2 linked regions of the Tribolium castaneum genome follow. The protein of the gene in region 2 interacts with the protein of the main gene of each other region in a pairwise test. Links are inferred from orthologs where the notes say so. Each region holds a gene or a part of one and is shown on either strand. Other genes may lie near its edges.

Region 1 (3,572 bases), on a different chromosome or scaffold from region 2:
ACTGCCATTATTATTATTTACAGTAATTTACTTGTTCTAAGTAGTTATTTATAAGTAAATGTTTTTTTTGGTTTATAAACCAAAATGCCCAAAATCTATTTCAAAATCGTTCGCAACACAAATTGTATTCTTGGTTGCAAGTCGAGGATGAACATAGAGATTTGCATTTTCATATCTTCTGACGAACCACCAACGACTATGTGGGGGTAAAGAAAAAGTAAGCAGGAGAAAGCTCTTGGAAGTATTATTGATGAAGAAAGAAGTTTCTCCAAAAATAAGAGTTTGTTCGCTTCATTTCAGAAAAGATTACCTTCCCAAGAGTAAGTACCTTTACCATAACTGCATGGTAAGTCCAAAGAACTTGGTTAAGATGAGAGTACTCTTGACCACGTTTTTATTTAGTTTAACGAAATGATGTAAGAATTATTTCATGTATTAATTGTTGAATAAGATTCAGCAGCAATTGTAAAAAAGGCGAGACTTAAAAAAACTGCAGTTCCATCACTTAATCTCCCTAACGTGGAGACAAAATTATCAAGCAGAAACAGAAAACGCATGCGAAGTATTCCAGAAGGCATTTTAGATGAAGAAGACGTAACTGTTGCCCGTAACAGTTGAGGCATAATAGAAAATGCCAAATTTCACAAGGTAAAACTTGAAGCTTTTATTAACTTTTATATTTGAACACCAGCATTTATACACTTCTATACTTACAATAAATAAAAATTCGGAATGTATTTATATTGTTCATGTTGGCTCTTCATACATAATTCATAATTAAATCAATAAGAAATTTACACTTCAGATATACACCCAATCTTGCCGATATTTTCTAACTTAAACAACGGTCCTGCATTTAAACATATACACAAAAACAGGAATGGCATAAAATAAGATTCTACAATATGATATCGTTTTTGATAAAATTATTCAAGTGAGTTCAACATTAGCAACTGCTTGAGTACTTTGGTCTGGGACGTCTCCCTGATTTCGCCCGCCAGGAACATCTCGTCAACAACGGTATACACTTTGTAAAAATTAAAAACGAGGTCTAGCTCACAAACATTGTGAAAATATTCATTGAGTACTTCAACAAAGTTATGTATTGCTTCCAAGTAGCACAAGTTATTGTCGTTCACGTCGACGCATATGCAAAAGTAGAGGCCGGCGTATCGACGGTAGACAATCTTGAAGTTGCGGAACTACAAAAAGGCATCATTCAAGCCCCCATTTGGACAACTCACCTCAACAAAATTTGTGTGTTTCGCGTCGCGAACTGTGACCACGGCGTGCACCTCCTCTATCAGTTTCTGCTTCTCGTCGTCGTCGAAGTTCATGTACCATTTAGCTAGACGTGTTTTACCCGCCCGGTTTTGGATTAATATAAAACGAATCTGGGAGTCAAACAATTGGTTAGAATCGATTAAGCTTGTCGAGAACAATTCACAAACGTAGTACAACACCAGTAACTCACCATTTTTTAAATTTCTGATAATAATTCGGCAGGTTTTGTTATTTAATTGAACAAAACCTCCTCCCAACGAGTCAGATAACAATTTTTTGGGGCACTTCTAGGGATTTTAGGTGTCACTGTCAGTCTGACAGTGATAATTGAGGTTAGGAGTGTCCATAAATTAATTTGATTCTTCTTGAATGTATTTTTTTATGTAAACATTTAAGTCTTATCATGTCGCGAAATAGAAGTATGTTGGAAATATTAACTTTCATTCATGACATTGTTGAACTTTAGATTCAAGACATGGTAAATCGAAAATTACAGTTGGCGAAAAGGGGCGCCAAGTGCTGGAAAATATTGACGAGAATAACCGTGTAATTAAGATGTTTCTTGGATTTCGGAAAGAACTGGATGAGAAACACGACCGTTACGAAAAAATTGTAAAACTGAGTCGAGATATTACAATCGAAAACAAGCGTATCATTTTCTTGCTACATTCTACAAACACTGATATGTATGATTGTTGTTGTTTATAATCTGTTTTAATAGTCTAAACAATTGTAGAGAAGGGAAAAGAGAAGCTGTCTTGGATGAAGCTTGCAAAAGACTGAAAGTTATAACAGATGAGAATTTTAAAACTATAGCTTCAATTCTCAAAGATTTTGATTCTTATCAATATCAGAAGGCTTACACAAGTGGCCTACAGGAATTTATTGAAGCCTTGGTTTTTTATCAGTTCCTGCATTCCAATAAAATTGAAAGTTGGGAGTCTATCAATAAATTTTTCCAGTATGAGCAAGATGGTGAAAAATTCAGTCTTTTATTTCCACAGCTTGATTTCATATTAGGAATTGCGGATTTTACGGGAGAATTAATGAGACGTTGCATTAACAATTTGGGAGTAGGAAATGTGAGCGACTGTTTCAAAACTTGTAATTTTGTGAAAGATATCTACACAGGGTTTTTAGGTAAGTTCTAACTCAAAAATTAGGTAGAAAAATTATTTTTCTGGAATCGGCCGTAAAATAGGGGAAATACTCCACAGTATACTTGACTGTAATGTTGGTTGCCTATCTGTGTTGATTAAAAAAAAACCAAGAATAAAAGTGTATTTGTGTAAAAAAATATACAAAATGTTATTTTATTCTAGGCATTATAAATCCAGGAGCTAAAGAAATGGGTCGTAAAACATACGTTCTGAAACAAAGCCTGGCTAAAATGGAACTTGTGTGTTACAATATACAAATAAGAGGATCTGAAATTCCAAAACACATGTTGGTCAACGTTATTGAATCTAGTGACATGAACACTGAAGAAGATGAGGGTTTTTACTGAGTCTCTTAATTTACACAATAGTTTGTAAGCACAAATTTTAAGTTATTATTTTTTTAAGTTTGTCACAACTTTTGAAGCATAACTGGAAATAAAAAATTGATTATTTATCTTGTTTTAATAACCCTCACCTGAATATCACATTTCATAAACACCTGATCTTTATCAGGGAATTTAAAGGACGGCATGTCTGTATACAGAAAGCATTTCAGGCTGCTTCCTTTAAGTTTGTCACTTTTATACCATTTATCTATAAGTTTGCGTTTCCTAAAATAAAAAGTTGGTTGTATATGCATCGTGATTATAATAAAAAACGTAGCCAAGAGGGCCCCGCAAATTTTAAATTGATCAATTTTTAGTTGTCTTTTTTAAATAAACTAAAAAAAATGTTTTTTTTACATGAGACAACGTTCATGAAATTTGCAAAGCACTTTTCACCATGTTTTTATTTATACTCAGTGTAGTTATTACCTCCTGGAGTGTTCTTCCGTTAAATGTAATTTGTTCTTGGCCGTTTCGTAATTTTGGTCGTCAAAGGCCCAACAGTCATTCACCATAATGTCGTACAAATTGCTTGGATCTTTTAAATAAATGAAAACCGTAATTGGTTCCCCGACTTCTAGTTGTGATTCAATATGCGAGGTCTATAATATCTATTGCATTAAAAAAATAATAAGTAAAAGTTAGGGTACATTTGGGTAAATTCCTTTCTGAATGTCCATCCACGTTACCACAGGTTCGTCCGAAGTTGGAAGGATAAAATATTTGATGTCTCTGTATAATT
Region 2 (3,623 bases):
TTAAGCTTTGATTACGTTTCTGATCAAAGTGGCCTGGGACTGAAAGTTGGTAACGAACTATCAATGTCACAGACCACTCTGTTTAAAAATTTAATTAAAAACATGGCTTATCGCTTCTCTTGAAACAAGCTGACGGTTTTTTTGGTTTTTCATTGAACTATTCTTCTAGTCTGAGCGCAAAAAGTATTGTAAGAAAGTCTGTGGTACCCATTGAATAATAAAATATTTGTGCAATTTTTATGTAGTACGAAATAAAACTATTGTACAAATCGAACGTCTTTATTTTATTAAAAAAATACTCCAAGGCACATGAATAAAAAACTGTTACATAAACTACACACCTATAAACTAAATCTGTGACGCTTCCTGTCTCAATTCCTGTGAGAAAGCCGGCAAGCTTCGCAATTTCTTGGCGATGGCGAGTCCCAACTCCCCTGAATTCTTCGTGGGGCTCATAATGAGGCGTCTCCTGAGTTTCGGGTTTAAACTGGGGCGTTTCGGCAACGTCTCAACGGACTTTTCCTTGGCCGTTTTCCTTGCGGGGGTCCTGTCTTGATCCACTGGCGACCAAATGATGGGTTTTCTCCTGGGTCCTCTTTGAATAATTACCATTTCGTCGGCACTGGCGTTTTTATTGGGCGTTTCGTGATTGGCTTCATTAAAGTGGATTTCGGTTAAAGCCAGTCGGGCTGAACGGCGGGGCTCAACCCTTTCGTCTTCTTCGGCCATTTTGGGGGTTCAAAAATGACTATTTTAGTGATGTTCTTGGAAAAACGCCCGAGTCCCGAGTTAACCTCACAGGACCATCGTTTCCCGGGCGCGCTAATTTTCCCTCTATTTTTTGGACACGCGGACTCAACGGCTTCTCCCCACCACCCAAGTGGTGGCCTCTATCAGCTGATTCAACAGGTGGTGTTTGTTTGGGAAGACAGCTGATAGGGGAGCAGGAAAAAATAAAAAACCGTTTCATTTTACATTTCATCTGACAGTTATTATTGTTATAACCCCAAAAGTTACAGACATGTCAAATAGTCACAGCACACTCTGACGTAAATTTATTTATTAAATAACGATACAATACGTAATATTTTAATTTGTAATTATTTTATAATATTTTAATTAAATGCAATGGAATAATTTACACATCTGCAATCTCCTCTTCATCTCCCCCAATTGCGCGCCAAAACGCCGTGACCACCTGCTCGGCGCACTGTTTCCTCTGATTCATCGGCAAAGACTGCAAACTCTCCTTCATCATGCTTAATTGTGCGAATAAATCGCTAAAATCATCGCTTCCTTCACTTGTAAGAAACTCCTCACACAACTCGACCACACTGTCGTTTTTCTTCTGATTTTTCACGCTCAAGTCGTTTTTCTCTTGGTTTTTCATATTCAGATTGGACCAAGTGTGGGTCTGGAGGGCTTCAATAACCCTTTCAACACCAATTTTTTCCTCTATTATGTCCTGGTCGCAGGTTTGCGATCCTGGGTACAGTTCTATTAATTCAAAGCCGTGCTTTAAACACCATTCTGTAGCGGCAGCTTTGGTGATTTTCGTCTCGTTGGTACAGTAATTTGCGATTAGGAGTTTGATCTCGGGATCGCAGTCTTCTTGTAAACTGGACCACATTTCTAAGTCCTTTAAACCATTTTCCTTGTTTGTGTCTATGTGGATTACTAGAGCCTCGACGTTGTCATTAAATGCCTGACTTCTTTCGTGGTGTTCTGTTATCCCAATTACATCAACTTCGGCGGTATAATATTTGGTATCGATTGTCCAAGTGTGGACGATCTTGGTAGAGTCAAGGGGGTCCTCTTGGATGTCCGCACATTTCGTTATGAGCTTAATTAACGACTTTGGCTTAGTACTACTGCTACTAACGATAACCACACTCGGTTTTGCACTCATTTTGACAAAAAACTATTTTTAATCTTCTGTTTGACAAGTGTCAAAGTTTTAATTGAGGTTGTGTTTTTATAACCACAAAAACAATAACATTTTGACTAAATACAAAAAGGCTGGCCCTCGTGTTAGGCTAACGGTACACACAAAAAATACAATTTTTTGATTAACTCATATACTCATATTTAGTCAAGTTTCTTTAAAAAATTGCCGAAAACATACAAACTGAGGTTATTTTTTATAACCTTAAATACATTCGACACGTGTGTTTGACACCTAGCTCGTTTTACTAAAATTTTGGCTAAATGGAAGAAAACGACACCGAAAATCGAGTTAATTTCATCACTTGCGTCAAGTGGGTGAAGAAAGGAGTGGCAAAAAGCCAACCCGAAAAGGTAATCTACAAAATACAGTAACCTCGCTCATGACTCGGTTTTTTAGGTCCAATTGTCCAAAGCCGAGCTCGTACAAGTCATAAAAGCCACAAAAAAGAAACTTCGGTACGTATTCGAGTTTTTGTTACTTGTCACCAATCAGTTTTTTAAAACAGAGTCACAAATGAGGAAAATGCTCAAGGTGAATCATCGGCTCAAGATGAGTTCAATTTGGAAAATTATGACGAACAAGACGGTAACTGAACTTAGTGTTACGACACCGTTACGTTACGTGACTTTTTTTTATTAGAAGGCACCGCTGAGGCTTTGGGGATAAGTTCACTGGCTGATTTACAAAATAATGAGGAAGAAAACTTCTCTGAATCAGACGATTCGGACAAAGAAGACGAAGTTATCAAACCTAACGATAATTTAATTCTAGTTGGACATGTGGAAGGTGACGCAAGTTCGCTAGAAGTGTACAGTAAGTACTGTACTTGAATTAAAACCAACAAAAAAATAATTATTCCAAGTTTACAACGAGGAGGAAGAATCACTTTACGTCCACCACGATATCTTACTTCCCGCCTTTCCACTTTGTTTCGAATGGTTGGACTACGAACCCAACGCCCCAAAAGGCAGTTACTGTGCTATAGGTTCCATGACCCCCATTATCCAAGTCTGGGACTTGGACATAATTAACTGCATAGAACCCGCGTTTAATTTAGGCCGAGCCGCAAGTATTAAAAAAAACCGACCTCACGTCGGCCACAAAGACGCAGTTTTAACTTTGGCTTGGAACAAAACCTACGAACACGTCTTAGCTAGCGGTTCAGTTGACAAAACTATACTTTTGTGGGACTTGGAGAACAAAACTCCAAGTACGACCATTTCCGCGTTCAAAGACAAGGTCCAGTGCATGCAGTGGCACAAACTGGAAGCGCAAACTTTACTAGCTGGGTCTAGCGACAAGAAAGCAAAAATTTTCGATTGTCGCAACCCTGAGACACATCAGACGTGGAAAATAAATGGGGAGGTTGAAACTCTGGTCTGGAACCCGCTACAACCGTTTTCATTTTTCGCCGGTAGTGATACCGGAAATTTGCAATATTTTGATTGTAGAAAAGGTAGTGAGTTTTTAGTAAAATTCAGTCGATAAAATCGAGATTTAGGTCAAGTGTGGGCTGTTGAAGCCCATGAAAAGGAAGTCACTGGGTTGGTTGTGAGTCCGCAATGTCCCGGTTTATTAGTCACATCGTCGCCAGATGGGACGATAAAAATTTGGGACTACACCGAAAATGAAGCCACTTTCGTGTTCGAAAAAGATTTTAGTTTAGGGACAGTCC

Evidence for each region.
Region 1: the proteins of alpha- and gamma-adaptin-binding protein p34 (region 2) and AP-2sigma interact in binary tests that used the Homo sapiens proteins (3 or more experiments, as listed by UniProt). The link is inferred for Tribolium castaneum from reciprocal best matches to the Homo sapiens genes AAGAB and AP2S1.

The regions. Positions count from the first base shown.
Region 1 is NC_087396.1:14,083,613-14,087,184, reverse strand, and holds AP-2sigma (AP-2 complex subunit sigma), read right to left. Parts: upstream 1,612-3,572; 5' UTR 1,478-1,611; coding exon 1,475-1,477; intron 1,395-1,474; coding exon 1,245-1,394; intron 1,203-1,244; coding exon 927-1,202; 3' UTR 734-926; downstream 1-733. Other genes in the region: Trax (translin-associated protein X), read left to right, coding at 1,688-1,703, 1,751-1,970, 2,021-2,424, 2,607-2,791; uncharacterized protein LOC103313709, read right to left, coding at 2,829-2,873, 2,920-3,055, 3,260-3,432, 3,481-3,572. UniProt on the Homo sapiens protein: Component of the adaptor protein complex 2 (AP-2). Adaptor protein complexes function in protein transport via transport vesicles in different membrane traffic pathways.
Region 2 is NC_087402.1:2,419,545-2,423,167, forward strand, and holds alpha- and gamma-adaptin-binding protein p34, read right to left. Parts: upstream 1,910-3,623; coding exon 1,139-1,909; 3' UTR 1,044-1,138; downstream 1-1,043. Other genes in the region: nclb (periodic tryptophan protein 1 homolog), read left to right, coding at 2,209-2,298, 2,345-2,403, 2,454-2,533, 2,588-2,761, 2,811-3,404, 3,450-3,623. UniProt on the Homo sapiens protein: May be involved in endocytic recycling of growth factor receptors such as EGFR.